Linked DNA regions of Drosophila melanogaster. The protein of the gene in region 1 interacts with the protein of each later gene in a pairwise test. Each region holds a gene or a part of one and is shown on either strand. Other genes may lie near its edges. The genes, in order: wupA and TpnC47D.

What was found.
Region 2: the proteins of wupA (region 1) and TpnC47D interact in a two-hybrid assay, tested with the Drosophila melanogaster proteins (2 studies listed by BioGRID).

What each region holds. Positions count from the first base shown.
Region 1 is NC_004354.4:18,105,969-18,123,135, reverse strand, and holds the start of wupA (wings up A), read left to right. Parts: upstream 1-6,310; 5' UTR 6,311-6,429; intron 6,430-8,401; exon of another isoform or gene 8,402-8,489; 5' UTR 8,490-8,510; coding exon 8,511-8,525; exon of another isoform or gene 8,526-8,530; intron 8,531-8,603; exon of another isoform or gene 8,604-8,692; intron 8,693-9,213; coding exon 9,214-9,396; exon of another isoform or gene 9,397-9,406; intron 9,407-9,560; coding exon 9,561-9,689; intron 9,690-9,754; coding exon 9,755-9,878; intron 9,879-10,473; coding exon of another isoform or gene 10,474-10,574; intron 10,575-11,097; coding exon of another isoform or gene 11,098-11,198; intron 11,199-12,531; coding exon of another isoform or gene 12,532-12,632; intron 12,633-13,565; coding exon 13,566-13,666; intron 13,667-16,204; coding exon 16,205-16,248; intron 16,249-16,313; coding exon 16,314-16,455; intron 16,456-16,587; coding exon of another isoform or gene 16,588-16,630; intron 16,631-17,103; coding exon 17,104-17,167. UniProt on the Drosophila melanogaster protein: Troponin I is the ATPase inhibitory subunit of troponin in the thin filament regulatory complex. Involved in the development and maintenance of muscle and nervous system. May also be involved in the cytoskeletal apparatus.
Region 2 is NT_033778.4:11,260,830-11,276,904, reverse strand, and holds TpnC47D (troponin C at 47D), read left to right. Parts: upstream 1-1,618; 5' UTR 1,619-1,672; coding exon 1,673-1,684; intron 1,685-1,840; coding exon 1,841-2,015; intron 2,016-2,073; coding exon 2,074-2,325; intron 2,326-2,762; coding exon 2,763-2,791; 3' UTR 2,792-3,060; downstream 3,061-16,075. Other genes in the region: Cpr47Ef (cuticular protein 47Ef), read left to right, coding at 4,514-4,528, 6,635-7,355, 7,420-7,545, 7,625-7,663, 7,752-7,784, 7,840-7,905, 7,998-8,102, 8,165-8,197 and 9 more; Cpr47Ee (cuticular protein 47Ee), read right to left, coding at 10,135-10,794, 11,140-11,589; Cpr47Ed (cuticular protein 47Ed), read left to right, coding at 15,115-15,126, 15,221-15,592.

The DNA.
Region 1 (17,167 bases):
GTTTATCTTATATGTATGATGCTAATTATATATGTACATATGTCAGGGTTTAAAATCATTGGCATTTTCATGTACTTTCTAGATCAACACCGAGTTTATACACTTCAATTTTGAAAGAAAATTCATTTTATCTATGTAGTTTCACACATATACATATGTACATATATGAAAAATTCCGTAATATTCATATTCGTATTAATGACCTTTGGTCATCCGATGTTTGTACCTTTCTCCTAGCTTTTAAGAAAGTTTGTGCACGGATTTTCGTGATATAGGGATGCTAGCTATGTTTCCTATGTGATATATGTATGTAACAAGCACCTGGAGTGCAGCACTTGCTTATCAATTGGAACACGGCTGTGCCAGAAGTTCGAGATGGGAATCGGATGGAAATGGAGGGAAGATGATGTTGGTGTTGGAGACCGATGGGGATGTTGGCTGGTGTTCCGGCAATGACGTCGACGCCGTCTGCACACCTGTTTGACATTGCCCATTGGCCCCGCAGATGAATGGAGCCCGGAGGCCCATCCCAGCCCGTTCCGATCCGATCCGATCCGAACCCGATTCGCAACCGATTCGGATTTTTATTCGGCGCCTGCTGCCGCTGCCGCTGCTGCTGTTGCAGTTGACACTTTGACCTTATGCAGTTTGTGCAGTGCGTTCAAGTTGGAGTCCGCTTCCTGCTCCCTTCCCCTGCACCCCCTATGAAAATCAACATCCGACGCCAGCGAATCCCAGCCAATTACGTAGCGACCTTCGCATTTATTTTTAGTGCACTTCTAAAAATAAATCGGGGTCAGCTAGTGCGGAGCCAGAAAATCAAAACTTTCACTTGCGATTCTCGCTGGCAAATTCAAACAGTTTAGCAAGTTGGACAATGACGACTCCCAGGCGAATTCCAGATGCCAAATAGCCAGGTGTGTAGAGCAGGGAGCTGCTACGTAAAATAGAGTAGGTGGAAATTTGGCCAGGAGGTGGCTATATCTTTAGACAAACGGGCTAGTTGTCGCTGCCAACAACGAGAATGAGACGGCCGAAGAAAATAGAAAGAACAAAAGCGTAGAGAAGCGTATTTTTATTATGCCACATATACACAATGTATGGTCGGCTATATAGACCCCATTCCGTATTCTGTATACCAAAGCATCCCATATAGCTGCGCCCGATTATTCGGCGTTATGTGATGTGCATGCATGGATTTCGCTCTAATGCCAAAACACGATCGGACTATATGCTACTATATATATATATATATATATATATACAGTCGTATATAGAGAGTTAATCTGTGGGCGATTCTCTTCTAGGAATGCGTCGATTGCTGTTCATGCAAGTGTCTGGCCATAATAGAGGGTTTCCTGATCCATTTGAAGAGCTATATCTACAGACTTAGGATGAGTCTATACAACTATAGGATGTATATGAAATCTACTGGTATAAGAAAGTAGATGACTACACCTATAAGATTGTAGTTAAAGCTTAATTGGCAAGTGTTTATTGTTTTATCTGAAAGTTAAGCCGAAAATATGATGCACTTCTCTATATAACACACTTGTATACACCCCCTTGTACTCAGTTCTATTTTGGTTTAACCATGCCGGAAATACAATGGAGCAATGTGCAGAGTCCGTCTGGATCAATTGAATTGCAACTGCCAGTGCATTCAAATCCAAATTTCATTGCCCCCATTCCCATCACATTCCTCACGAGACTCGCCATCCGCTCGAGAGTCTTCTCGTTGTGTGTATCCAATGGTGTCGCTTAAGTCATCAAGTCCAGCCAGATAAGGTGCTCCGAATCGGAACCAATTGAGCGAGTGGCGAACGGGACAAAGGGAGCACATTTCCATGGGCCAGGACATGGGTTCAGGACATTGGGCATACATCCACATGGCCAGTCAGTCAGACAACCAGTCAGCCCGACAGCTTAACTCGGTTGACATTTATCTGGCTTTTGCATTTGTGCATTGCTGTTGCCATAGCGCCACGCCCACCCACAATCGGAATGGGCGTCCCATTGATGACGCTGGCGACTTTCATTCACAAAACTGCAGCATTTCAAGGCAGGAACGGAGTGGCAAACGTCAGCAGTGAATGGAAGAGACAGCCATGCAACCACCCCCTTTTGCTCCTCGATGAAAATGTGGAAAATTGTGCAGACCCCTCGGCTCTCCATCTTCTTTGGATGTCCTTCGTCGTGGATGTGGATGTGAATGTGAATGTGAATGTGGATGCAGATGTGGATGTGGAGAAGCTGGGCGGCGGAGGTGACTTGGCTAATGAAGACCAATGACGTCCGACGGCTTACAAAAGCACTCGGAACAAAATGCTTAATCGTTCTCGAATTTAAATGAATAGCATTAGCTCAACTGGCATTCCTTTCATGAGGAACACACATTTTGACTTGATAAGTCTTCTAATTAGGCATTGAATTCGCAGTTACTATGTATTCCTAAAAAGCAACAAGGATATGAAAGGGATATTTTGTGATAATTTTCAGATATATTTAAGATACATGTGTGCATTCAAGGCCTTACAGAAATAAATCGATGCAATATGAGTATCTTTTTGGTAATTTTCCATATCATTTTAAACCACACATTTGATATGCTGTTCGGCGAGAATATTTTCAAAAGTCTGTGTGGAATGGTCGTGGAAATTGGGGCCCCTTGATTGACCTCAGCTTACTGGACCATCAATCAATTAGGCGCCATTTTGCCTTCCACGAACGCGTGCACATGGAATCCGCATCATATTCCTGTTCCTGCACCATGTTGCATGTTGCATGGACTGACCTCGCTGCCTCCTGATGACGTCTGCGTGGAAACTATGACGTCACTGGCGGCGAAACTAGTGCAAATACACTACAAGCTGCACACGCATGCTATCGGTGTGAACGACTGCGCCTGTGTGCGTGCGGTTGCACGTCATCAATGTGGAAAATGTGGAAAGCCATAGAAAAAGTACAAGGGTATAAACACAAGTCCCTAAAAATAGGCGATTATCCGAGATACGAACTACTCCATGAAAACAACAACGGAAAATATTGAGCTAGTTTTAAAGAAGCCAAATAGAAATGGCCCAACTGTTAGCAGTAGTGTAGCTATAGAAATTATAAATAAATTATAAATAATAACGTACGCAGCATTTAACTAGGTATTTGTTTAGATAAAAGCATTTTTCAATCTACAATATAAAGACATTTAACTTCATGCCAAATAAATGCCTCTGTAATAAAGCTACTTATTAATCCTATTATCCATGCTAATCGCATTATTTCCCCCACTTTCTTATCATAATACTAGCTTGCAAAAGTTTCATTCTGAATAATTGATTATACTTACGCCACAGCACAAGTTTCGTGCTTTTCAGCCGCCCTTTGATGCAACAAAATTAGTTACTGTAACCGACAAACGCAGTTAATCCTTGGAGATGTGCAACCAATACGTGCACCAAAAGTGCATTTGAAACTGTAATCCGTTTAGTTGATTTAATTAAATTTGCGATAACTTTGCCAACTCTAAGGCGAACTTGGGCAGGGTTATTTAAATATTTCGCAGGACCAGCCGGAGTAAGCGAATTCTGACGGCTACCATGAGTGCACCCAGCACCTATGTACATACATAATGCGAGTGCATGCAGCATATATAAATACATATACATATTATATATATACATATATATATTTATATACGGTGCAGGGAGGATAAGGATGCGAGTGCCTGTTTGTGTGTATATAACCCTAAATGGGTCAGCGACAGCTGGGGAGTGGTGTTGGTTCTGGTTATGGAGGGGGAGTTCGGCGGGCAGACGACAACGACGACGACGACGACGACGACGACAGCAGCGACAAATAGTTGTCAGGTAGAGCGAACGTTGCAAGGCCACGCCCACAGTGGGCGGCTCAGAGGGGGGGGGCGGGGGTGGGCGCTTATGACGTTTGTTTTGCTTTGACGCACTCGCAGCCAGCTGACCATCGATGGTTCGCCTTTAACCCCGAATTAAGCTCGATTCACTGGGCACACCACACTGCCCACCTTTAAGGCCTCGATTCGTGCAAATATTCCGCCCATGTTGCAACATTGCTTTATTAAAGTTTACTTATTGCCAATGTATACACATTTTCGACGCTGTAAGACATTACCGCTTTTCTAGTAATACTGGTCGGCATTATAGCCCACCCCCGTCCGATTCAATATTTCCTGTTTGCCAAAGGCCCAAAAATAAGGCACAATATTAAAAGTGTTTTTTCAAACGAAAAACATTTTCGAAATTCATAAATTAAGGCAAAAATTGCTTGGGCGCGCAGCGGAATTGTTTAAAAACGCTCGGAACGAGAATGAAGGCGAAAATAGATTCGTCCAGACATAGACGAACTGATCAAGTTCCCTACGAATAACGAAAACATTTTGCCCCAAGCTAACCCACTGCCCTTCCGCAGTCGCCGTTTTTTCGATTTCCCCCCTGGAAGCCATATTCTAAATTTAAATGGGGAAAAACAAAATAGAAATCATCGAAAATACATTTCGAAATAGAGCTAGAACAAGCCGTGGCAAAATCAAAAACAAGCAACACAAACAGAAACACAAAATGCCAAGAACAACGAGATGAGCAGGGAAAAGCAACATTATTTTCAACAATATTTTGTTGTTGCTCTCCCTGCTGAAAGTTTATAGAATCGGAACATACGTATAGACAGTCTATGTATATCTAAATTCATATACGATATATATATATATATATAGACATGGTTTCGTGATCGAAACGTTTTATTCGTCTTTCGTTCTTGGCGAAATTCGAAAATTACTTTCAACCAAAGTTGCAAGGCGTTTCGTCTACGGGGCGTATGCGTGATTTTCAGTAGGTGTGTTGCAGCGTCATTCGCACCGTTTACCATTATATATAGAAATTTATATATATATACATATATATATATATATATATATGTGTATGTGTGTATTTGGCCATATTGCGTATATACATTATATTTAGACTGACGATGCCAAAGTAATTCAGCTAAAACATTGATATTAACAAGACGGATATAGGCTATATGTTCGTACGATTCGCTTGGAACACATTATTCGAAAGCTTAAAGTTATGTCAGCGGCCAACATGCAAGATAAATAGCCGAACAACATGAAACAGATCGTTAAAATGGTTTTTCTAGATCAAGTCCAAAGTGGCACGGTCTAAGAAAAACCTTTTAAATGAACACAAACGGAATAATTACTTTAAGACCTGGAAATGATATTGGATGGATTAAATAGTAATAATCTTCAAATTAAATAAGTTAAGAATCTATGGGATTCCCCAATTTTATCTAATATATTTTCAGCAATATATGTATGTAAGGGTTATTAACCTATTTTTCTTAAAAACTGCAGTCTTCTAAAGAAAACAGTAATTTGTATTCAGTCAACTCATCGAAATATTAGTTATGTTTATGAGGATAAATGTTCGATAGGAGTTATAAATCTAATCTTTAAAATAACGCTGCATGCACCTATTTTAAGATAATGTTTAGTTTCATTAGTATTTGCTGTTGAAGTAGATTACATTGAAAATGAATATATATTCAATATATGCATATCCCAGCACAAGCTTATTCCCTGGATTTTCCAGAATTAGCATAATATTTTATAGTTTTTTAACCAGGGCTGGCGAAACCAGAGATTGCAGCCAGTCGCCGGCCCTGATTTTTTCATTGCACACCGATTGCACCGCCATCGCATAGCCTCCCAACTGGAGCAACAAAACCTATTTTTATCCATTGCATTGAATTCCAAGCGGCTCCGTTTACACCAGCACACACATCGAACTGCAGATACGATATTGTGAACACCGATGCGGATACAGAGATACAAAGATTCTCCAAGCGGTATTTTTCATAGGGTGGTTTACGGGTCTGCAGTTCCGACGGGGCGGGAGTTACGGGATCGGGATCGCAATCGCAATCGCAATCGCAATCGGATTCGGATTCGGAATCGATTCGGCATGCCACTCGGCTGCGACGATCGTGAGCCGAACACTTTTCGGTATCCATTTCGATTTTGCTTATGGGCTGTGCTCTGCCATGTCAGTTTTGGTGGGATCTATTTTTGGATCTCACGCCCAGATACATAACCCCGGCCCCCGAGCCACTCTCGCTCTCTCTCGCTCTCGCCCGTTCGTGAAGGACGGTGGGCAGGTGGGCGGCTAACGTTTGGCTTTCGGAACATAACGGAACCGAGCCGAACGAGACGATGCGATACGATGCGATCCGATCAACAACGATCCGTATCTGTATCCGTTGGGTGGCTAGCCGCTAGAATATAGTCTGCCGTGGATCGTCGGACCGTTCAGTCTTTTTGTGTCGTTCAGTATCATCCGATTCGTGTGATCGACAGCATAGCCGAATTTTTTTTCTTTTTTTTCTAATTCCTTGAAGGTGAGTGCTTGAAGCGGAGCAACATTCAAAAAGCCAAGAAAAACATCACCATCAACATTGACAACGAGCAACAATGCAAGAACAAGCGGAATGGAAAAACAGAAAACTGCAAAATGCAAAATGCAAATGCTAATGCTAATGCAAAGAAAAACAAATGTGAAATCCTCAGTCCTTTCTCATATGCTATACATATATATATATATATTTATATTTATATGTATGTCTGGACCTGACCAAAATCGTGTGCGTGTGCCCAGAGGATTCAAACATTTTTTTTCAAACAATTTTTTTGCTATTTTTTTTCAAGTGATACAAGTTAACAAGTGTCTAAAACTGCATCGAAATACTTTTCAACATTATTTTGACTTGATTTTGCAATGAATTTTTTTTCACGGATTGGCTTGCCAATTACGTAAGAAGTTGCCGTGTGTGTGTGCGTGTATGCGTGTGTGTGCGTGCCGAAAGCTAAAAATGTATCCCGCAGATACAAGATACATTTCAAAAAAGCTAAAATCGCTCGAAAAGTGCCTGAAAATAGACCACAGCGAGAACAAGAGATCCCGAGAGAGAGAAAAATCACACACACACACGCACACACAGAAAATCATACACTCACACACAGAGAAACAACACGCACACGTCGCCTACGTAAAATAACTGGATAAATGCTCTCCGAACTTTTGGATTTCATATTCGATACGAATATCGTTGCTCCAATTTGACTATTTTTTTTCCGTGAACATATAAACAAATTGTACGGCAAATCATAAATAGCTGCCATATTTCTCGCATCCGAGATTCGTGTATCTATCAACAGGTTTATTTTTAAATCAGTCAGATACTAGATACAGTAGATGCCATCCCACTCGCTCTCATTCTCAGATGTATGCCGAGTGGAGACATCGACTATGCTTAAATTCGTTGTGCATTTCTCGCAGTGTACATAGCCGAAGGTCGTCATTGTCAGAAAATTTTCACGCCTTACCTTCGCTAAGGTGCGCAAATTGCTGGGGCTAAATATACGCCTAGCTCCCTAGCAATTCGTTCTACTAAGCCATATGGCTTTGTAGGTGTGAAAACCCCAAAATATACAACTTCTTCCAAAGGATATAAAATCTATAACGGATCTCCTTTTGACTCATTGTACATTATTTTAGTTCATTGCTAACAGCATAGATAATTTGTTTAACGATTACTTTCAACGCTAGTAGACTTTTTAAAGTTATATATGTACTTTGTGAGGTGTTAATTCTTCGACTTCATTTCAGTAAAAATGTATACATATACATACTATACGGATAGGCTAGCAAATAAATTCTGATTAATTCCTCAAGATGTAGACATGGTTTTTCGTATGATGAAATCTCATAATGTTTACTTAAAGATTCCCAATATGTTATTCAGCATAAAATGTATTTTTAAAATGCCATTACAACGATCAATCATCTGATCAAGTATGCATATGTAAAAGTTACTTCTATACTAACGATTTAACTTTTAGCTTGATTAAAACGAAAACATATCGTAGGAAAGTTTCCATTAACAAAATCAGCTGGCTGAGATCGGTCAGTTGGGAAATGCTATTCTCTCTTTGCTCACTTGAAATCGGATATCAAAGAGAGCAACTAGAAAAGCCACAAAGCAATACAGTTGTCTTTTTCTGGCAGCTAGACGCCCACGCCAAAGTAAATGTGCGAAAGAAAGGCTAAGCGAAGAGAGCGGGAAAATGAGCGTTTGCTGGGGTTGTCCTCCCATATACGGCGTGAACCAATGCTGCGTATACGTAATATGCGGCATATGCCAGCAATATGGCGCATACGCACTGTGGTACCCCGGTGAGATCGTAGGCGTGTGCGAATGGGAGAGAGAGCGACTGATTTATGGAACATATATATATATATATATAAACACATACTTATATGTATATACCTACATATAGCCGTGTATATATAGGGCAATGGAAATGATGTCATCGAACATTTCCATTCACCATTCACCATTCACCATTTGCCTCCAGTTCCAGTTCCTTGAGTTCACCTCTCGATTTCTCTTACTTTCAGTAACCAAAAACACAAATCAAAATGGCTGATGATGAGGTGAGGTGAGTATCTCCAACGGCCCCCTTTCTACCGCCTTTGAGAAACGGTTGATTAACCTTTGACCCTCTTCTTCAGTTAACTATTTTGGGGCATTAATCGCAAGCACTGTTTTGGAAATTGGAAGTGATTTGGACGGGATTAAACCTGACTGGATGTGGATTTAGGTAAGCAAAGCTCCCGAACAATCCAGAAGCTTCAACAGCCCCCCACTTGCAACCACGCAACATGCAACCCAAGCCTTTCTTTGCCTTTCTCTTGCTTTCACAGGATCGCTGCGCTTTGCAACCCTCTGAATCCCAGCCATTTCTTCCTTTCGATCAAGGAGCACAGATAATGATAACTGTCAAGTCTGACTGAAAGCCATGTCTGTTATCGTTAGTGTGTGTCTATGTCTCTGTGCCTTGCTTTGTCCCTTTTTTTGTTATCGTCGCGTTTGTGCCTGGAGAAATTTGAGATCTATTTAAAGTAGTTTAAAATCAATGAAATATTACAACCAATAAAACTTGGCTGACCATTCTTATATAATTTAAATGAGTTTAAAACCTATTTGATTACTTTAAATAATTGTGGATGATTGAGAAATGTTAATAGTTCCTTTGAAGTTTAAGCAATTTTCTCCTAGCCTGGCGTACTTTTTCGATTCCTAGAACTGCAACTAACCAGCAATCATTTAACTTGATTTCAGAAAAAGGCAGCAGCTCCGGCCGCAGCTCCAGCGGCGGCGGCCAAACCGGCGGCTCCGGCAGCAGCCCCGGCGGCCAATGGCAAGGCTGCTCCGGCGGCCAATGGAAAGGCTGCTCCGGCAGCTGCCGCCGCTCCCGCCGGTCCGCCCAAGGATCCCAACGACCCCAAAGTGAAGGCCGAGGAGGTACACTTGTGTACGTGTGTGCCCGTTCAACTTAACGTCCATGTCAAAGTCCAAGTCTCGTGCTGTGCAGTGCTGTGTTCGAATATCATATCTAGTGTTGTGTCCAGTTTTGGATGTGAGCAAACCATGCTGATACCCGGATTGTTCGTTCATTTAATTTGCAGGCTAAGAAGGCTAAACAGGCTGAGATCGAGCGCAAGCGTGCTGAGGTGCGCAAGCGCATGGAGGAAGCCTCCAAGGCCAAGAAGGCCAAGAAGGGTTTCATGACCCCAGAGAGGAAGAAGAAACTCAGGGTAAGTTTCCAGCATATACCAACGCTTTGTATGATCGCCAGCTAATCAAAGCCCTCCACTTGCAGTTGCTGCTGCGTAAGAAAGCCGCTGAGGAGCTGAAGAAAGAACAGGAACGCAAAGCGGCTGAACGTAGACGCATCATCGAAGAACGTTGCGGCAGTCCCAGGAATCTCAGCGATGCCAGCGAAGGTGAGTAGCCTCGGTCCTCGAACCGAATGATTAAGATCCCTGATCAGGCGAGTGGAAATCCCTAGAGGTTTCCCTGCACCTGGTCACGGTTCGAAAGTATAAAGGATGAAAAACCATATAATCGAAATAAACGAAATCAATCAGTAAAACAGATAGGCGGCTTATGCATTCAATATGTTTAAGCCCGCCTGTCGCGAAGCATAAACCAAAATCGATAACTGAAAGTTGAACAAGTGTCATCTATCGCATACATACATACAATTACATAACACACCAACACGAAGACACCAAAAACACACACCAAACACACACAGGATAACCGACCTCCCACATCGGATCACATTGACGTCGCAGAGGAACCATAGTCTTATTATGCCTGAACCACTGTGTGCAACATGTATCTAAATGTGTCTCTATCTCTATCTCTCTTTTGCCGCACCCATGCCCGTTAAATATCCAATCGATCCACACACACACACCACCACCACCACCACCACCACCAACCCTCTCCAACACAACCAACACCCCATTCCACAACCACAACCAACTCCGAACCACTCCGAAAAACCGAATATAAAAACCCCATTGTGAACAGACACACTCAAATCTCTGATCAAGCAACACTATGACAGGATTAATAAATTGGAGGACCAGAAATATGATCTTGAGTATGTTGTTAAACGCAAGGATGTTGAGGTACACGAACACCACCAATTTTATATACGCCACCTAAATACGCCTAAGTCTATCCACGATCAAAATCAAAAGCTAACGCTTAACAACAACAATATAAACACACCTTCTGTCAGCTGTCTCTTTCTATATATCTAAAACACTATCTCACTCTCAATCTGTTTACTGTATAATACACTCTATATATGTTCGTGAAAAGTGTTATTCGCCCAGGCACTAAAAACTGTACAGAAACTCAATGGCTCAATTAGCTCCGTATGCGTATCCGTATCCGTATCTCCGTATACTCACCCGATTAATGCAGGTCTCTTTCTATATGTCACTCCAGTGAGGATGTGTTCTGTTTAAGAATGGAAGTGTAGGTGCCATTTCTCGAGTAGATTAGTCTCACAAAAACACACTCACCCACTCCCACACCAAGAAATACCAGCGCACTCACACACACACACACACGCACAGTCAAACAACACCTCCAAATATCCAGATACAGTTCGAACCGTTTTGATAACCACACTTCGTTCCGCAGATACTATTCAGAGTGTTTGTAAGGACTACCACAGTAAGATACTGAAACTGGAGTCCGAAAAGTACGATTTCGAGTACGATGTAGCCAGAAAGGATTATGAGGCAAGCAGCTCCGGTTTCCAATAGTTTCAATCTCTCGCAGATCGTAGAACATGTTGATAACTATCTAAATATGTAGAACTACTTCACTAGCCGAGGCAGCAGCACAACTAGCCCAAAGATATATGCAAATATTTCGGAGCTCTATATACATTAGTGTGTGTGTTTGTCCGGCGGACAAAAGAATATAAAACTAAGCACTTCGTAGAAACCGTAGTTAACACCATGTACTTTTTGAATCTAGTTTTCATTTTGGGAGAGAGCTGTGCAAACGAGGCCCCCACAAAAAATATCGAAGTGTTTTTGGCACCCGAAAATCGTATATACCATATAGAAAGTAGAGCCCTAGTCAACGCAGCTAATCCGTAATATAAGAGCTTCAAGATCGGACCCAAATTGGGGGGATCGAGAATAACTACGCTGCCTTTACGTACTAATAACCTAAGCCGAGTGCAACAAGTGCTGACAAACCCTATTTTTGATGTCACCTTATTTGTGGGTTTTTTGCTTTTTACGGCTTTAGCTATAAGCTTTTTGTGGCTACAAGTTGGTTTTTGGCTTTTTATTGTAGCGGAAACACATGTGATGTTTTTGTATTTTTGATAAGGCTTTTACTAACCCACCAAAATGAAAGAAAATATTAAGAAAAAGCGAAACGGTTATGTTAGGGCAATGCACTTTACTCTAGTGTGACCAGAGCTTAGGCAGACAGTCATCCCAGAAGTACAGTCACGCACGAAGGAACAACAAACAAGACACTGATACTCTTACAGACACTTCATGTTGCACCAAGAAACGAAAGCACAACACTGTCTTACACTTAGAACATTTGTAGGTGATAAAGATCGAGTTCAATCAATAACTTTATATTAATCAAATCTTAATCTAATCCTTCTTTTTCTCGAAAACGCGCCAACCAATCACTCGAACAATCAAACAAACAAACAACCAAACTAAAATCGAAACAAACAATGCGTCGTTCTCGTTGTCTCTATACGTCTCTTTGTCTCATTCTATCTCTATCTCCTTCTGACCCTATCTAACTCTGTTTCTTCGACTATATCTGTCACTCTCTCCAATTTCACGCCACACCTAATCTTCTTCCTACTATCTTACTCTTTTTCTCTTCACTTTTCTGTCTATACCTGTTCTCTCACTCTATATCTATCTCTCTTCTTTGATCCGTAACTCCCACGCACACATACAAACAAACACCAATACCAACACACTCAAATATACATACAACACAAATACAAAACGAACTCTCTCGTTAAACGTCAACCGTTTACCGTTTCGTAACCGCTACTGTTACCGCTACCGTTACCGTTTACCGCAGCCGAACTGCAAACAATATGCAAACAATATTGGCAACGCGTATACAGTTTGGAGGGCGATAAGTTTGATTTAGAACACGTGCAGAAAGTCAAGGCCCAAGAGGTAAATTCCCCAAAGATTTACAAAGTTTTGCCATGCACCCACAAAAAAAAAAAAAACGAATTCAAAAAAAAAGAAACCAAAATCGAATGTTTTTTTCTTTCTTATCAAGCCAAATAAAATACATAAGATATTTACATATATATAAATCGATTATTAATCATAACTCTACTTTACGATTATGCCCTTGATTTAATTATTTGATTTCATTTCTAAATATTTCCTAATCATATTTTTAGTTTTTTACTGCGATACTTCTGTTCGTTTACCTAATTTTGATATTGTTTTAACTGCGCTAAACTACAGAAAAAAACGAAAAAACGAAATCAGAGAGATTTTCTCGCATCGGCGCGTGCTTCAAACAGTCTGGTTTTGGGGGGAAATAGTTCCCGGGCCGCCGTGTATATAGTCTATCCGTCCGGATCCGGGAACCGTCTTCCCCCGCCGTAACCCCCAAGCCAGGTCTTCGGTTCGCCGGAGTGGAAGCTTGTAGGAGAAAATAATAAGGAACGTCTTTCATTAATTGTCAAAACCTAAATAATAAGTCTCAGTTTATCGAGTTGCTCATGAAAATCACGCGTACCCAATAGGCCAATAATGTAAACCGTAACGATCGTTTCCGTTTCCGTTCCATTTCATTCCGATCTGATTTGTTCCGTACCATTTCGTAACAGAAACAGTAGGAGAAACCCAAGTCAAAAATCGAAGAATAAAAACTCATCGAACACATAACATCTAATGAAGCTGCGAAATAACAAACGATAAGATATCGATAACAATTATTGCGATAAACCAAAAGAAAAATCTATAAACAGTAAATTCAATCATAAATACTATTAGTCATACGTAGATTTAGAACATTACCAAACGACGAACGCCGATTAAAAGTTTAAGTCAAACCAAAACCAAATCCCGAAAAATCAAATATTTTTGCAGGCGAATTGCAAGAGATTTGCGAAGAGTATTACGAGCGTATGTATATTTGTGAAGGCCAGAAATGGGATCTGGAATACGAAGTCAGGAAAAAAGACTGGGAGGTACTGCAACAATTTCAATTTAAATTTTCCAATCGTTCTCAATCAATCAATAAATGTCAAAACTCTGAATACAAAAGAACAACCAATCAAAAAAAAAAAAAAACCAAAAATATTAATAAGACCAACTCACCCAAGACAGAATGCAACAAAATTGTATCAAAACTAAAATCTTATTTGATTATCTAAAGTATTCATTTGAGTTCTAGTATCATGTTCGTTTCCGTTCCGTTCAGTTCCGTTGTTTCTTTCTTACTTGTTGAATGCGCATCTCAAAAATATGTCTCTTAGTTTGTATCTGTTTTACTTGACTGTTTCACAAAACAACAACCACCTCGTGCCCCCCTACCCATATATATATACAGAAGCATATATTTGGGTCTCGGTGGGGGCGCACAATCGTGACTATTTATTCGTACTACTCCCTGTTTAATTTCAATTTCGAGTTCCTAATGCCGTTGTTACTTACGTTTAACTCAAAAACTTCAGACGGAAACACGTATCCGCTGAGAACGCGAGGATTGCCTGACCAGTCAATCGATATCGAATATATCGAAAAGTCTATTCAACTTGAAGTGTGACCAGATGTCGTGACCAGTGAGGTTATGTCCGAAAACACACATAGTGAGGTTAAGTCCGCTATCGAGCACACGAACAAACATGTCACATGGCACCTCCTCACTTCCTCTTTGCAAAAATATCAATTTAACTGGCAATCCAAGTATGCTCATCAGTCACACTACACCCCAGACAACCAGAATCACAAACAAATCGAACAACAACAAGAAACAAGCAACAGTAATGTAGTATTAGTGAATTGCACAATAGTTACAACAACAGCAATATAACTAGTTTGTTGCACCATTTGTGAACTTTGTTTTGTGTGTGTGTTATTTCTCTTTTTTTCTTAACTGTAACCAACAAATTTGTTTGTGCCGCTGTCGACGCGTTACGCCATTACTCAACTGAACCACAGTCTGTGCGTCCGGTCCACAAACACAATTACAACCTAAAAATTTACCAGCACATAGTTATACAAGCACACTAGCACAAAAGTACACGATCACAATTTAAGAACAAAAGAAGGAAAAGTACAGTCACGCTCACACGAAACGCAACGCACGCAAGCACGCAACATTTTGCATGCAGCAACACATGAAAAAAAAACAGGAAAATAAAACACCGAAACGACCGACAAGCAGCAGCCACGAAACACCTATCCCGATCAGCCACGCCCCGTACTGCCCACCGCCCACCAAGCCACCGCACTTCATTGTAAATAATGTTTGTGTAAATTGATCCCATCGCTGCTCACACTCTGTCTCTCTCTCTCTCTATCTCTCTCTCTGTTTTTCTATCTCTCTCTCTGTTTCTATCTCTGTCTCTCTCTGTCACTTTTCTCTGTGTTTCTATACTATCCTTTCCGCGAAAAGCCGCAAAAAAGATAAGCCAAAAGCAAAGCTGAGTTCCAAGTTGAAAAGCATAAAAGCCAAGCGTCGATTACTTCTCGATTGAATCACTTAATGCTAGTCCACTAAACGTGATATACCGATTACCGATTACTGATACCGTTTACCGTTACACGTACCCGCCAAAATGCCAAATGAAACTGCGTGCGCAGCCGAACAAACAAATCGAAAGAAAGAGAAACAAGAAAGCAAAGCAAAGCAAAGCAGAAAGACCAACACAAAACAAAAAATCGAAGGGAGCAAGCAGAGGAGGCTGTAATTAGTGTTCCGATAACGATTACGATAACAATATATACAAATACCGTTAAGCAGTACCTCAGCCCAGTCGCCCTATTGGGTTTCAGTTTCAATCTCAATCTCAACTTCCGTTCCATTTCCATTGTAGTTGCAGCTAGGCCAACGTCGCTCGTTCCGTCTCACTCACTCCGGCTATCTAGCTATCTATCTATCGATCTGTCTCAATCACTTGATCACGCTGACTATCTGTCTCTGTCTAGTGTATATATGTATAAACGAACAATACTCTCTATAAAACTACAAATAAAGCATTAAAGCAAAAGCAATCGACATTTGGATGTTATGCTGTTCAATCAACAAGAGGCGCGATTAATGCGCCAATCTATTGAACCAAACCAAACCAACCAATCGAACCGAACCGCAACCACCAAATCCTCGTCTCGCTCCCACTAGGCAGTTTAGACCGCAGAGAACTTGGCTCGCTCGCTCGCTCGCTCGCTTACTCGCACTCACTCACCCACGCACGCCAGCACGCCCTAGTCTTAGCTCATAGTACTTAGCATTACGACTTAGTGGTTGTGCCCATGGTAGAGTATGCTCTATATGTCTGCAACCCATGTTTCCTGTTTCCCGTTTCCCTTTGCATGCGTAGAAGAACCCCCATTTAGTGAAAAGAAAAATAACTTCTTCTTGCAGCATTTTGATTTTGATAGTTGCCCGCCGTAGCTGTAGCTTTATGTGTCGATAGACCGATTGACAATTGTCGATGAAATGATACTAATCGCGTACCCTTTTTCTTCCCAACTCTCTCAACGTGCCTGGCTTGGCAACACAGATCAACGATCTCAATGCCCAAGTTAACGATCTTCGCGGCAAGTTGTAAGTACAATTGAAATAATCGACACGAATGCGATAACTAATCGATTGCATTCGAATAACTTTAGCGTCAAGCCAGCCCTGAAGAAGGTCTCCAAATACGAAAACAAATTCGCCAAGCTGCAGAAGAAGGCCGCTGAGTTCAACTTCCGCAACCAGCTCAAGGTGGTGAAGAAGAAGGAGTTCACGCTGGAGGAGGAGGAGAAGGAGGTAAGTGATCATTTCCCGCCATAAATGGGAACTTCAGCGACGGGGGATATCCAATATTATAATCTCTACTCGACGATGAACGAAACACTACACCAATCTATATATCTTCTATATCTTTTCCGTGACGTTTAGAAAAAGATAAAAGATGCCGCTGTGCTAAATAAGGCCAAAAAGTGTAAGAACCTCAGTGTGTGCGTGTGACCCAGATCCTTCTGTTTCTGTTCTGCCTTGAGCACCTGAGTGCACCTGCTCCATATATTTTTCTCTCTCTCTCTATCTGTTGTCGCACACTGATCTGTCTTTGTCTTTCAACGATCGTAGTCAGTAGTTATAGTCACACACTTTCTCTCTAAATCACACGAACAACTTACAAATAGTCTCAATGTGCGGGATCTGAATTTGATTGCTCAAAATTAACGATGGAAAATATGCATTCATTGCACTCGCAATCGATCAAATTGAGCATCCCACCATAGCAATTTATTTTGGAGCACACGTCACTTGTACATGTAGATCACAATGTAGTTCTTAGTGTCGGCACCGAGCATCCAGATGTTGTATGTGACCATTTGGGATGGTACATGAGCCTACTAATACCGATATCTTCTCTACTCTATTCCGCCATGATATCCACGTCCGGATGAGCAGAAGAAACCCGACTGGTCCAAGGGCAAGCCCGGAGATGCCAAGGTGAAGGAGGAGGTTGAGGCCG
Region 2 (16,075 bases), on another chromosome or scaffold:
CATGTGTTTAATGAATTTGTATGCAGTATTTAACTTATATTTTAATAATATAAGTTTGTAACTTAAAATAGAACAGACTGAGATATTTTTTCTTTAAATGAATACAAGGAATCCCATATTATTTCCTCCGTGTAATCACTCAATGAGATTTTTCGGATTCTTTGCGGCGCCAAGGATTCCTTTCTCCCGCTCAGCTGTTGTTCATTACTAATTCCTGGCATTTTGAGATATGTGTGTCGCATATATTACTTGCTAATAAATTAATAAGAGCATAAACAAATGGTCAATATGTCAGAGTGACGTCAACTTTTTGGCGGCTGCTTTGGCTGGCGCTGTCATAATTGGAAAGCAAGATTTGGCTTCCTCGATTTTCCCAATATTCCATAGCCACATAAACAAATACGTTGGCTGGTTTCGAAAATGTGTGCCACACAAACTGCTATTTTATTAAAATTTATAAATCAATTTGCATATCATGGCTGGCATTAAACAAAACGAATAATTAATATTATGGCTGATTTAAATGTGAATATATATGCGCGCGTATGGGAATAGGAAGCTGAATCGCAAAAGACAATATTCGAATCGTTTATAAAAATGTATTAACACATTGCTCGTTTGATATTTCCATGTGCGAGTTGTCGGTGTCTGTGTGTGGAATGATTCCATCCTCTTAATTAATGTCGATTTTTTAATTGCTCGTTAATTTGGCTGAGTTATAAAATGATTTTATGGGCACGTCGTGATTGATTCATAAAGCGTGTCAGCTGGAAAATGTGATCAGATTTGATCTAATTATGAGGGAATATCTGATACTTATTTAAATGAGCACCAATTAAGCGTACACTGGGCGAAATTCAACTGCTGAACTGATACTATAACATCTTTGTCTGGAATTTTGCTGACTCATTTCGTATGGTAATTTGTTAATAAAAGCGAAACCGAAATTCAAAAGCCGTAGAACAGGGTAGGTTTTTAAGTTTCAGCCTGAGTTTGTAGTTATTTAAGTGGCTAAAATCAAAGACCAGTATTACGTCCCAAAAGTATAAAAAGAGATGTTTATTTAAATAAGGTTATTTAAGACTATTTTTTATCGTCATTAAGCGTGTTTAATTTTAACAGATGTTGATAGCGCATTTGGAACTGGTTTATCAACAGCATGATTTACAATAATTCCAGCTGCCATCGAATCTGATAATGATTTTCCCGCAGTGTCGGCTAAAAATAGTCATTGTTAAGCTTAGCAAACCACTACAAAATCGTATTGTAGTGGGTGGATGTGGTTCGGATCGTCTGCTCTTGGTGGTGATGGTGGTGGTGGCATTGGTGGTGCTGCTGCTTTCTGGTGGCCAGGCGCAGTAAATTCGGCAATGCTCAATGGTTTTACAGTGCTTTTCGTATTTTCCTTTTTTTCACTCCACGAAAATTAGAAACACATTTTAAGATTTCCACAGGTTCGTGTGCGCGTTCACTTCTTTTGTTTATTTCGCTTGGTTTTATTTTCGAAATGCTGCTGAAAACCATAAATTAGCTTGTTACTTTTGGAATGCCTGGCGTTGTGTGTGGGTGTTTCTGGGGTTTCTGGGGATCTCAAGAGCTCAATGAAGAAGTGGGGAACTGATTCAGTCGTTAGCGGTGATCGATCTGGTGAACAACTAGCACAGGATTTAAAATGGATAACATTGTGAGTGCCACTGGATTATAGAAACCCCTAGGGGTAACACCTTGCACTTGAAAGCAGTGTTAAGGAATAGAGAAATGTCGTTTCTCATCAATTTAAAGATTTTTACCGAATTACAAACGAAGTAATGTATGGAAATTCATGGAACTTTCTTCTCAGGACGAAGACCTGACCCCCGAGCAGATTGCCGTTCTGCAGAAGGCATTCAACAGCTTCGACCACCAGAAGACCGGCAGTATCCCCACCGAAATGGTGGCCGATATCCTCCGTCTTATGGGTCAGCCCTTCGACAGGCAGATCCTTGACGAGCTGATCGACGAGGTCGATGAGGACAGTAAGTGTTCGCAGCCTATATTGCCGGGTGCCCAAACTAATCCTCGATTCTTCTGCAGAATCCGGTCGCCTGGAGTTCGAGGAGTTCGTCCAGCTGGCTGCCAAGTTCATCGTAGAGGAGGATGATGAGGCCATGCAGAAGGAGCTGCGCGAGGCTTTCCGTCTGTACGACAAGCAGGGCAATGGCTACATTCCCACCTCCTGCCTGAAGGAGATCCTCAAGGAACTGGACGACCAGCTGACCGAACAGGAGCTCGACATCATGATTGAGGAAATCGATTCCGACGGCTCTGGCACCGTTGATTTTGATGGTAAGTGCGCGGACCAATTAGCCGCCGTCAGTCGGGCTATAAAGATCTTGGATTCCTTGGCGCGCTGCCATGGTATTTTCCACACAAATTATATCAATTTGTTGCGGTGGAGAACCCCTACCCCTCCCCACTAACACCACCATCCCACCAACGAGGGGAGACGCCCTTGTGGTGCTTTATTTATAGTTCTTTAGATCTTTACACAGAAACAAGCAGATCACTTTGCCCCAGATTCTAAGGGGCATTTCACTATTCCTAAAACAAAATCCGTCCATATTTTCCGCCTTTTATAATTGTTCCGATTGGTGTACCAGTTTAAAAAGAAACAAATTTGTATTATGAGGTTTTGGTCCAATTTCCACTTGTATTAGTACACAAACCATATTTTAGTTATCAACAATAATAATAATTAATATTATTTTGTATTTAATTTCCAGAATTCATGGAGATGATGACTGGCGAGTAAGCATTGTGGACCCAACGTATCTCATAATTGTCTACCCCCCAACACCCGAGGCTTGAATAAACGTTTTGTATTTTATTTCTACGATTGAGTAATCATAATTACGCTATAAATAATCCGCTCGTTCAGGAACCGATTGAGTAGAAAAACCCAAAGCGCGGCAAACATTCTATGGCTGCAGTGCATCTGCATCCGAGTTGAGTCATCTTAATTGCCAATTGCCACCCTCTGGCGTGCGGATTATTATTAAATTTCAATGTTTGTGCAATGGGCTGGGAGTGGGCGTGGCCGCTCTGCTCATTTGTGTGTTAATTTGGCAAGGCCATTCGGCGTATGAGTGATGCATGTTGCGCATACGCAACGTGGCCAGATGCATGCGGAGTTCTTTGTTTCAATCTTTCCGCTATTACTTGCGGCAGTGCGTGCACATTCCGTTTGCCACTTGACTGGCGTTCTGGTCCGCACAGCTGTGACCATCCCAAGCAGAATAAGGCCCACTGACAACCTGCTAGATTTTTGCCTTTCCAAACAGCCAATGTAGTATATCATAGCTATGCATGCAGGCTGGCAAATGTCAATGAGCATTCTCCTTGTTGCCAAAAGATGTCAAGCATTTACGCTAAACTTGGCCGCCGCGACATGCAGTGAGTTTGTTTTCCCAAATTCAGCGAAAAGAAGCAACTGCCCTTTCTGAAAAGTTAGCGAAAAAAAAGGAGAAGGGGCTTGGGGCAGATCGATGTGGATGGGTTGGGGTTTGGATGTTGCCACCAAGTGGAGCAACTTGTTTTGCGCAATGCTTAGTCTTTCGGCCGGAGGGTGTCGATATTAGTGGTATTTATTACCGCTTCGAATCCAGTTTTCAGTTTTTACCCAATCATTAGGTGAAAGGTCACAGACTGGACCTGGACGCCCTGTGAAAGAGCTGAAAATGTGGCGGATTGTGTTGGGTGTCAGATTTATTGACATCCGCCTGGGCAGACTTCTCAATATGCGATTCTTGACACCGAGCGCATTAAAACGGTTTCCCAAACGTGCAATTCAATGGAGATGAAGCTGAATGATGATGATGCGCTCGAGCGTTGAGCGTTTCGATTGGATTCCAATTTACGAGCACCACCAGCAGCAGTTGCTTGCTTGCTAATTTTTACCCACTAACCGAGGAGAGATGTGGCTGAGAGCGTTTGTTTAACAAGACAAGGTACATTGAGTAAACGAGATGCCGCCGTTGAGACAATAGTCAAAATGCATGGGCTTGCGGATGAGGATGCGGGGGCACCACCACCTCCTCCTCCCTTTTTCGTGCGATTGTTTTCTGCCCCAGCTGGGGACGGAGCCTCAGCTAGCACCACCACCATCACCACCACAGCTGCACACGATTGCAATAAATGCCATAAAGTATCAAAATCTCAGCACTCGCTCAGCACCGAGCTCCAAGCTGCAAGCGGCAAGCTCCGGCTGCAGTTTTCGTTCATTCCATTCCATTTGATTGCATTTGGCGCCAAACCAAGTATAAAAGCTGGAGAACTTGGGCTGCGATCGGCACACAAGTACCGTGACATTCGAGGAGCCACAACACGACACGCGGAGGCACTGCATCGCTGGTGCGGCAAAGGACTTACGTGGATTAACCCAGCTTTGTGGATAAATTAAGCAGTGGATAAATTGTGGGTGCGCCAAGGATTCTTCTTCTTAATCCTCGATCGAAACAATCAAAAGATTGCTGTCATGGCTCTTAAGTGGGTAAGTTCAGTGAAAGAGGAAAGTAACTTTGGGTTAGAAAATTCAAAAGATCCAAGTGTTCTAATGAAGAGTCCTTTGAAACTCCATATGCTGTTGTGGTTAGAAATTATTGTAGAGCTTTACTAATTTTTCCCGAAAAGTATCCTTCTTGAGATAATGACCTAGATTCAAAAATATATTTCAATGTTTGAATATAATATTCATATTTATATTCATATTTTCCGTTTTTATTCTTTTCGGATTTTTTACATTCATTACATTTTTACATTTTACATTCGAATGCAAAGATCTTAATGCTTCAAATTTAATTAAATTGATTTCATTACCCAATTTAATTTAAATGAAAGTAAAGTTACGAATTTTACCTTAGAATAAAGACATTCAATTATTTTAGTCTAGGGAATTGTCTCATCAGAAATCTGTATTAAATTGGCATAGGAATATTCTTATTCATCAAGAGTTTATAACTTTTCAGGAAACTTTGATTTAGTTAATTATTTAATCTCAACTTGGCAACTCATAAAATTCCGCGAAAAAGAACATGCCTAAACAATAGGCCACTGGAGTGTCCCATCTTGGATATTTTAGCACAGCCAAGGGTTTCCCCATTGCACTTAGCATATCCGATTGTCTTGAAAAGATCGAGTAATCCCCGTGAAACGCATAAATTAACAGCCCATTTGCAATCGGAGATGGTGGATGGCACGCAAAGTTGCCCAAGATGGTTTGGTCGTGGCCGATCCGCCCCGCCTCCAAAGCAGATCATCGAAATGGAAGCAGTGGCGACCCAATTGGCAGCCCATTTGCAATAACCGCAATTATATTTGCGGTTGCGAAACGCTGTCGAAGATGTCTGCTAGGTGGTCACGAACTCCAAGAGGCTCTCACAGACTCCTCAAGATATTCCGGCCCAAGGGGCAGGCGTTGCTTGTTTCGGTTGCATGTGCCACAGTCGCCGGATGAGTCAGTGTGGCAAATGTCAGAATTTCCACAATATTACATTATTACACTGCCCGGCTGTGGCGACAAGTGAGCTCATCATCGTGCCAATCGATGGAGCTGTTAGGTTTATGGCCCAATGGAATTCGTAAACGGTTTAAACTTCAACTTGACACTCGCTGGTCCGCTCCGCTTAGCCAACCTTCCCAGCCAGCAATTCTCTGTGGCACTCTCGGTTCACACGCTGCTGCATCTTCAGACGTCTTCTGTCTAACAAGAAGTCCATAAATATCATAGTTCGCCTCAGGCTGAGACAATGATGAGCCAGCCCGATGTTGATACTATAGTCAAGAGTCCCCGCTGCACTTGCAGCCTTAATGGGCGACGACGATCGGTTGCAACAATGGAAAACGTGAGCGGATCGGATTGCGTCGTTCTGTCAATGGACAAATGCTTCATTGATGAAATGGCCGACATTTGGCCACACTCTTGACCCCTTTGGAGGTTCCCAGCGGCGGGGTCATGATACCCACTTGGCCGAGATGTGTATCAGGGCTTAATTAACAGCAGAAACAATTCAAGGTTCTTCTTGTAATTTGAAGTTTGGAAAAAGCTTATCGTTTATTTTTGGAACGAACCATTGCTGTTTAACTTAAAATACACATTTATTACAAATAATTACCAAAATGCTATCATGAGTAAAGTACAGTTGTAAAAAATGACATAATGTTAGTAAGACATTAAAAATCGTTTAAAAGTATTTCTTAATACGAATAATTCGAAAATAATAATTTTCAGACGCTTAACATTATTTTAAGTTTAAATACGTCCTTGTGCTCAAGCAACAAAAGTTTATTCGAATAACACTTTTTATGGCGGTCGTTAAATGACTATTTCATTACATTTAGCAGCCTTTTTTCATGTTATCTTCAGATTTATGAATTAGCCGCAGTTAATGAAGTTAAATTTTAAACAATTAGCCACCCCTGCGATTTTTCACTGGCATTTATTTTGCAATCAAATAAGTCAACACGCCAAAGATTCGCTTCAGGCCAAATTGAGAACGTGGATCGCGATGGAAGATGCTGGATTCGCATGAACTTTCCATGTGCTTGCATAAATTTGTGAACTTACCGGGCAATCCCTACCTGCAACGATCTTTTTCAGGCTCTGGTGATCACGACGCTGGTGGTTGCCCAAGCAGCCAAGCTGGATAACAAATACCTGCCCCCACCTGCAAGTGCGGCCAGTGCGGGCGGCAGTCCGGGAGCAGGGCTTCAGGGCCCAGGAGGTGGCTTCGGCGGAGGTGGAGGATTCGGTGGCGGCGGAGCGGGTGGAGGTTATGGAGGAGGCGGCGGTGGCGGACCAGCTGGCGGCTTCGGTGGAGGACCAGGCGGTGGCGGTGCTGGTGGCTTTGGTGGTGGTAATAACGGACTTGGTGGCTTCGCAAACGGAAGACCCATTGCACCTGGCGGCGGCGGCGGAGGCGGCGGAGCACCCGCTCCACGCCCCAGTCCGTCAGGTGGCGCGCCACCAACTTCTGGACCTCCCATTCCGATCCTCTCATTTGTCAACGAGAACGACGGCGATGGCAACTACCGTTTCAGCTACGAGACTGGAAATGGTATAAAGGCCCAGGAGGAGGGCACCGTTAAGAACAAGGGATCTGAGAATGAAATCCCATCCGTGATGGGCTCATACTCCTACACAAATCCCGAAGGTGAACTCGTCGAGATCATGTACACGGCGGATGAGAATGGCTTTGTGCCCTCGGGCAACGCCCTGCCCACTCCACCGCCCATTCCGGAAGCGATAGCCAAATCTCTGGCTGCCCAGGGCATCTCCATACTGCCGGGTGGTGGATACAGTGGCGGTCCTGGAGGACAGGGTAAGTTTCTACAAAATAAATCAATGGATTAACATTCCATTTCATTGCTCACTTTTGATTGCAGGAGCAGGTGGCGGCGGAGGCGGTGGTTCGGGATATGGAGGCGGATCCGGATTTGGAGGCGGCGGCGCAGGAGGAGGATCCGGTGGAGGCGGAGGTGGAGCAGGAGGTGGCGGTGGATATGGATCAGGTAAGATACGAATTCAAGTCACATTTTGACCCTTTTTCTTTTTTTAGTCTTTTTTGACTTTAACTTTGATTATTTTTAGGAGGCGGCAGTGGTCGTGGAGGAGCACCAGGAGGTCCAGGTAACGACTGATTTATTTATACAATTTTTAAAAATGTTAACCCCTATTAGATTAATTTAATACTTTATCGATTCGTTTGCTTCTTTAGGTGCGCCAGGTGGAGGCGGATTCGGAGGTCAAGGTAAGTTATGTTCCAACGGCTTACACATGGATCTAAAATACTATTTATTTTTTAGGAGGTGGAGGAGGCTATGGAGGAGCTGGTGGCGGAGCTGGTCGTGGTGGTTCCCCAGGAGGTCCTGGTAAGTCCTTTTTCTAGATGAAATTTATTGTTCCTAAAGAAAATCCGTCTTAATTCACTTCATGAATTTATATTTATTTTCATATATTTCAGGATCACCTGGCGGCGGCGGATTTGGTGGTCAAGGAGGTGCTGGCGGCGGTTATGGTGGTGGCGGCGGCGGAGGACGCGGCGGTGGCGGAGCACCAGGAGCTCCCGGTAAGTTAACGAAAAGTGTTACTCCATAGATACTCAAAACTAATAACTTACTTCAACTAAAGGATCACCTGGCGGTGGAGGTTTCGGAGGTCAAGGTAAGTGATCCCGCCTGACTTTGCGGTTCAAGTTAAAACTATATACACTTTCCAGGTGGAGGCGGAGGATTCGGAGGTGGCGGCGGACGCGGCGGTGCTCCTGGCGCTCCCGGTGAGTTCATGATTTCATTCACTTTATATAATAGATAACACATTGCTTATTTTCAGGATCACCAGGCGGAGGCGGATATGGTGGCCAGGGAGGTGCTGGCGGCGGCTATGGAGGCGGCGGCGGTCGCGGTGGTGGTGGAGCACCAGGTGCGCCAGGAGCACCAGGATCCCCAGGTGGTGGCGGATTCGGAGGTCAAGGTAAGGGATTTTAAAACTTACTGCACATTCACCTCGAATAATACATTCATCTTGTAGGAGGTGGTGGCGGATTCGGAGGAGGTGGTGGTCGTGGAGGTGCCCCAGGAGCTCCAGGTGAGTACAAAACATAAATTGTTTGTTACTGAAAATAAGGAATTATTAATTAATAGGATCGCCTGGTGGAGGAGGATTTGGCGGTCAAGGTTAGTTAGCAAAACAATATTCCAGTTGCAGGTCTTAAGTAAAACATCTTCATCTTGTAGGTGGGGGTGGCGGATACGGAGGCGGCGCCGGTCGTGGTGGTGCTCCTGGAGCTCCTGGTAAGTCGATTTTAATATCTGCCTAGTGGCTTTAAAAACATACCATTCGTGTTTCGCAGGCTCTCCCGGAGGAGGAGGATTCGGAGGCCAAGGTTAGTAACTTAGTAACAGTACACTGTGCATTCCACAAAACTTACGAAATTCTTCAAGTTTCCGACTACTTGTTAAACTGTGTTATAAATATTATAATAATTAAAGTAATATTTATTTTTTAGGAGGTGGTGGTGGCTTTGGCGCCGGCGGTGGTCGCGGTGGAGCTGGAGGAGCACCCGGTGGACCCGGTGAGTAACATTGGTTTTTGTGATGAAGAGGTCACTCTCCCAATTTGTCACAACATATAGATGGTATTTACATTTTTTAATGTAGGATCTCCAGGCGGTCCAGGTTATGGAGGAGGTGCCGGTGGACCGGGTAAGAAGCATTATAGTTATAAACCCGGTTTTACAATCTGTGTGATTGCAATTGTAAAACTTGAATTAGCCTCATTCATCTTCATGAGAAAATGATGTGAAGAGCTACACTAGACAAGTGCTATTCCCACACATTTCAGTTTTTTTATTTTGACAATTCTTGTTTGGCAAAGCCTTGGTCTATTGTTTTACCCACGATCGACTAACGATCTTTCATGCATAAAACATTTCGGCTTGCACGCGGTCTCTTTGAAGTCGCTAGATTATAATAATTTTAAAGACTGCTTTAAATAATTACAACTAATCAAAGAGGGTTTACATAAATTTAATGCCACTCTAATCGCGATTGTTTCCATTTTTTATCTAGGAGGCGCCGGTGGACGTCCAGGCGGACCAGGATTGCCCGGCAATCAGTATGTTCCACCAGCGGCTGGTGGCGGAGCACCCGGCTCGCCAGGCAGACCAGGATCGGGAGGAGTTCCCGGCACAGGATCACAGTACATTCCACCTGCTCCGGGAGCGCCGGGCGGAGGTCGTGGAAACGGAGAGTTCAATCCTCAGACGGGCTATAGCTACTAAAATCAGAATTTATTCCAAAACGCCAATCAAATCTCTCAAATCGAAGAAACGTCATTTCCGTGCAGGCTGCCCTCAATGTTCTTTCGCTAAAACAATTAATTTATTTATATAAGCTTACCTCCCTCTTCCACTCTGACAATGTGTGTGTGCAACTATCGAAATAAATGATTATTATAAAATATTTGCTTATCATTTTGCGCCGCGTAAGCTGCGGAAATTGAAACAAACTGCTTGACTTTTCAGATGCATGTATTTCATGCCTTTGAGTTGCGACTACATCTTCAAACTAATCAATCATTTAAATGACATTAATTTGTCGTTATTTCTTTGGGGACTTCTTGAAGCGTCTGCCGTACTGATTATAGCCATATGGATCCACCAGGTTGTTCGGTCTGCCCCTCAGTTGTTGGGTGATTAGGGCCTGTTGCTGCTGCTCGTTTTGCTGCTCCTTCTGCTGCTGTTGCTGCTGCTGCTGTTGTTGCTGCTGCTGCTGCTGTTGCTGGTTGAGATTCTGCTGCTGTTGTGCCTGTTGTGCAGTAAGATTGCTGCCAAACGATTGCTGGCCAAATTGTCCGGCATACTGACCGGGTAAGTTGCCGGAATGCAACTGATTGAACGGCTGTTCCGGTTGATATTGCCCGGAGTTTGGCTGCTGCTGCTGCTGGAAACCGCGTTGCTGTTGCAACTGTTGTTGCTGTTGCTGCTGCTGTTGCTGCAGTGGAGTGAGCGGCTGTTGTCCTGGAAGCTGGGGACGAAAGGGGGCGTTGGGCAGTGGGGGTGGCAGCTGGCGGAAGGGCGTCTGGTATGGATTCAAATTGGGATTGAGCAAGCCCTGTTGATAGGGCTGGGCACCTGCGAAATATTGAGGGCTAGATGGAATCCCCGTGCCCTCCGCTCGAAATCCGTTCTCATCGGCGATGTAGCGCACTGTGATGGGTGTGCCCTCCGGTGAGGTGTACGAGTAGGATCCCTGAATCACCTGTTCAATGGCAAATAAAGTTGTTGACAAATAGCACCCAAAAGCATGATACGAATTTTTTAGTTATAGTTAGCTCAACGCCGAAAAGATTGCAACGCATTATGTCCCAATTTGAATAATATGATCGTTGGTTTTTTGAAAATAATTTACTTGAATTTATGCATAGATATGTGAAGCTTAAAAAACTTGTTCTACTAAAAAATAACAGAAAAATTTACTTAAAAAAAGGCTGATGTAAATATCAACAAATAAGTCTTAACACCATTTTCCATCAATTAATGCTATAGGATCATTTAGAAGAATATCACTGAAAAGTTTGCTAATCAATCTGAATAGTAAACCCACCTGTGCCTCAACTCCCTCACCATACCCCAAGTTCTTCACGTATCCCTGTGCCTGGGCAGTGGTTCCATCGGCCGACGAGTATCCGTAGGAGAAGCTTCCATCCAGATTGAGTTCGTTTTGGTAGGCAGTGATGGGCACATAGTTTTGCTGCTGGTACTGGTTGTAGCGGGTATAGGGATTCTGTAGAGCAGCTCCAGTTAGTGGAGGTGCCAGTGGGTTCAGTGGATTCCTTTGACCAGGAAACAGTCCTTGACCCTGTACGGGATTCGGCTGGCGTCGCTGAAAGGGATTGGCCTGCTGTTGCAGCGGCTGCAGTGGAGGCACCTGCGGACGCTGTCCCTGGAATCCGGTTCCTGGCAACTGAGCCTGGCTGACGGAAAACCAGAGGCTGGCCAGCAGACAGGCCACCCAGCGGAGGTGCCGGAATCGAGGGGTACGGGCTACAGACATTTAGGCTGTCAGTGGGCAGGTGCCGTGGATCATAAATCTCGCGAACGGAGCACAAATTACACGCTCGATAAACCCGACGATTCACTTATGGAGCTGGGAAACACTGCTGATGCTGGAGATTCAATCGCGTACCGAAGCAAATCCGTTGCTGCCACTGGAAGTCACTGATCGAAAGCCGTGCCACGACTGCAATTGCGGCTCCCACCGGCGGCCGTATTTATGCGGTTCTCGATCGTCGGGCCCGGCGGTTCGTCAGGCCCTAAAGCTCAGCTCAGTTATGGTCAGAACAATCGGCGGCTTCCTGTGCCCTGGCTATCGGCTTCTGACTGCATCTCGATGGTAATCTCGCGGGCGGCCAGTGTAATTTATCTGCGTGTTAACAAGCCGCTGGGCTGGCAGCTTTATTGGTTTTTTATCGGCCATTGACAGAAGGACAAACGAATTTCGTTTGGCTTCGGCTTTGGCCTGGGCTGATTGATATCTTCATGGTGGCCCACCGGTCGTCTTCCGCGCACTTGTTTATGAGCCAGCCCCATATGCAAATTCTGGGTCTTTTTGCTCCAGCACTTGTCTTCGCATCTGCCTCAAAGGTGTTTGCTTGAGTTATGTGCTGACAGTGGCTGGTGGTCTATGTTGTATGTTGGATAGCCCCTTCATTTTCCCTTGGTCAAGGTGGAAATCGGACCTCAACTTGGCCTACAAACATCATTTGTCAAATGGCATACTAATCAAATGCGATACTGCTTATCCCCAGGATAGCTTGAGAGCTTTTCGTGCCCGAAGTGTTCCATTGTTCCACGCTCCAGTGGGGTTAATCATCAATCTCGATGGGACGGGGATTGCTCATGTCTAGGTGTGATGTGGTCGCCATCACTCATTTATAACTGCCAAGTATCTGACAGATACATTTTCGTTTGTCATCAGTATGAGCTGCCATTAAAAGGCGAACATGTCTTGTTCCATGTTCAGCTTCATCTATAATTGCATATGCTAATTCTGTGGAGGTTTTTCATTACGAAACAAAGGTCAACACTCGCGTTTTATGGGTTATGGGTCACCACTCAATTGGGAGCTTATGCTTCTATTTAAATCTAAAGCTAAATTTCGGTTCCTGTCAAAAAATTAAAAAATTTGCGTTTTTTTTATGAAACGATAAAGATATGGTGGCAATAAACTAAACTTTAGGTGCCTAGGTAATGTGAGAATCTGCCTAAAAGTAGAAGAGATATTTTGACCCAAGAAATATAAATAACGGAGCCGCGAAATATGCTACATAAATATTCGAAATCCAAATAGGTTCCACTTTCGCCCTTCACGACATTTTCATACGCTTCGCTGGGAAATTTTAGCACATGCCAAACAGGTTAATTTTAAAATTAATTGATATTTTTACTTATAAATTATATCTAAATTGCTTAGATATAAAAGATGAGAGTTATTCAGTTCGATGAACTACTTTTTGCTGCTTGTCATCTTCCTTTTGTTATTATTAATTAAAAGGGTATTGTTCATTTAAACTTTTTAATTTCTTATGATTTGCAATGTATAATGTATATAAAAAAATCGATTTTACAATACATTTCCGATGTGTTGTTGTTTTAAAGCCCATATATGCGACGTGAAATCAACGGCCGTGGGAATTTTTTATGTAATTTGATTTTCTGCTAGTTTGGTTATTACACATCTCTTGTTTTTTATTTAAGGTAATGATAGGTTTTGGCAGCTTCCATATGTCTAAAAATAACTTTGATTTAGGGTTCGAAAATGTTTTGACCCAATAAGCAGATCAAATTGAATGTGTTCAATATTAATTATAAAATGTTTTTTGGCCCATATTGGCCAATCGCTGCCTGATTGATTTGCCATTTGAATAATTCGCAAACTTGGGGTATAAATAGCCATAAAACAAAGCTTCAAAATGCGGGAAAACGAGGCGATGCGGGGAGCTTCGTAAAAATGCAGAAATGCGAGACACAACAAGCGCATAGTACAAGCCAACACAATGTGGTTGTTGGCCGATGAGCAAACCGCATTAAAGACAGGTCGGACACTCCTCCCACGACTCCAACTGCGACTGAGCCATGTCTATGAGCCATAGGCCTTAGCCCCAAATCCAAATCCAAATCCAACTGAAAGTCGGACAGCAAAGGCGACGGTTATTAATAGATGGCAGCCAGAAAGTTGCACCGCTTCGAGATGGTTTAGATGTTTCATACTTTGTTGAGTGGGCCTGACATTTTGCAATTGCGAATTGCATTAGTTAGAAATTATGGCCGCCAGCGGAGCTAATTGATTCACTTTGTGGCAGTGCGTAGTGCGACTGCAACAAAATTGCGACTGCGGATCTTCAGGTTCCGGCTGGCAGATCTTGGCTAAAGGTTAGAGTGTCGCAGCTCTGAATTATGACCTCGTCGGCATTGCGGCTGCTTCATTAATAAGTTTCCACTTCTGTGGCAGGCGCGTCAAATGCCGCTTTGCAAAGAGACACTCGAAAAAAATAGAGTAGGGTCCTTTCGGCCCTTAAATTCTTATAAAAATAAGCTAATAAGATTTACAGTCATTGTGTCACGTACAAATTCATGAAAATCTAATTATTTTTCGGTTTTCCATAACAGTGAATGGCGCGTAGTGACGAAGCGCACCTAACTGTACAAGAGAAAAATATATGTAGAAAAAGTTGTTGAATTTATTTTAAAATGGAAATAAAATCTGTTGTAATCCTTTTTAGACTTTTTGTTTCCCCAATTATTTCTCCATGTGCATGCTGGCAGTCATACCTGATTCCGCGGGATTTAAACCAACTCACCGACTGGGGAGCCACCAAGAATCAATTTATTAACACGTTGCCCGAGAGCCTGGCCGTTTTGGCAAGTGGAACTGGAAATTGGAACTGGGCGGGCCAAGGCAAATGCCAAAATGCAACTTCTGCCGCAATGTGGTGCTGCTGCTGCCGCAGCCCAGTTGCGAAATTGCTGGAAATTATTATTGAATTCTTTTTGTCTTGCCGTTGCCAGCATGCCGTTTGCCATAAATGTTAGCCGCTTCTCAAAGGCCCAGAGGTGCCCACCCACTGTATCAAAGTTTGCTGGCTGGAATTTGCATGTAGAAGTCAAGTCAGGTGGAGCAGTCGTTCGTTACCATTTCTGCACCTTTCGCTTGCCACAAATTGCCGCAGTGCCGGCAATTGTGACAAATTTTATTAGCTGCTGCACCTTTCGAGCAGAGCCCACGCCATTCGCATGTGCCTATGATGCTATCTGCATTGTGTAAACATGACAGTTTACCTGCTCTCCACACTTCTTAATCGCCATTTGAATTGCAAATCTGAGGTTCAACAAACCCCAAAAATTCTGAGACACAACGAGCCGCTACTTTCTACTGACCTCAATTAAAAAGCATCTGGCATTGCATAACTTTTGTCTGCTGATTGGGTGGAGAAATGTATCTATGTATCTGGACTATCGTCTAACGGATTGCTATAAAAAGCGCAGAATCTTTCCTACACGCTTAGTATTAGCATAAATCATGTTCGCATTGGTAAGTAGCGGATGGCTCATGAATACCCTGGCGTTAAGTGACTCCACATCATTTTTCTTCATGTTTTTTCTTTTTTTCTTTTGGGAACTTCCAGCTATTGATCTTGACTGGCTGCCAACTGCTGTGGAGTTGCCCCGCTGAGTGTACTTCCATTAACGTGCCGGTGCCAATCCTCAAATCGGTGACCGAACAACTTAGCTCGGGTTCCTACCTATTTTCGTTCGAGTCCGCAGATGGCACCTATCGCGAGGAACTGGGCATAGTGAGCTCCGATTCGAAGACATCTGACGACGATCTCGAGGTGTCCGGTATTTATCGCTATATCAACGACTGGGGCCAGGAGGTGGAGGTGCGCTATACGGCGGACAAGAATGGCTTTCTGCCCCACGTTCGGTACATATCCAAAGGGGAAGCCTATAAACCAATTCGCATAGAGCCATTAGCTTTGATGGGCATACATTCTTGAAAATGTTAGCCAGCCAGGCAATTACCAAAGCCAATCGCCAATCCAGGGGCGAATGCCCGGCTTTGGGGCTCAAGGAGCGGCACACGGCAAAAAATATATGCAAACTAGTATTATTATAATTAATAAAAGTCATCTTTAAGCATCCGAATTTTTAGCGAGCGAGAATCACCTCATCGAAGAACGGGTATATATATAAATGATTTAAAAAAAATTGATTTTGTAATGTTTTTTTGTAGTATGCAACTTTTTTAACAATTTTTAACAATACATGAAAATGTATTATGATTATATTAAAAAAAATCAATATCAAAAAAAAAAAAAAATTTGGCATTTTATTTTTTTATTTTCAATATATGTATGTACATTTATGTAGCTCTGCTCTTAAGTTCAAAACGCGCAGATTACATGTTTGTCATTTAAGATACCTTTTTTCATATCTGAAAAAAAGTAGATACTTACAAAAACTAGTTTCGCATTATGTAT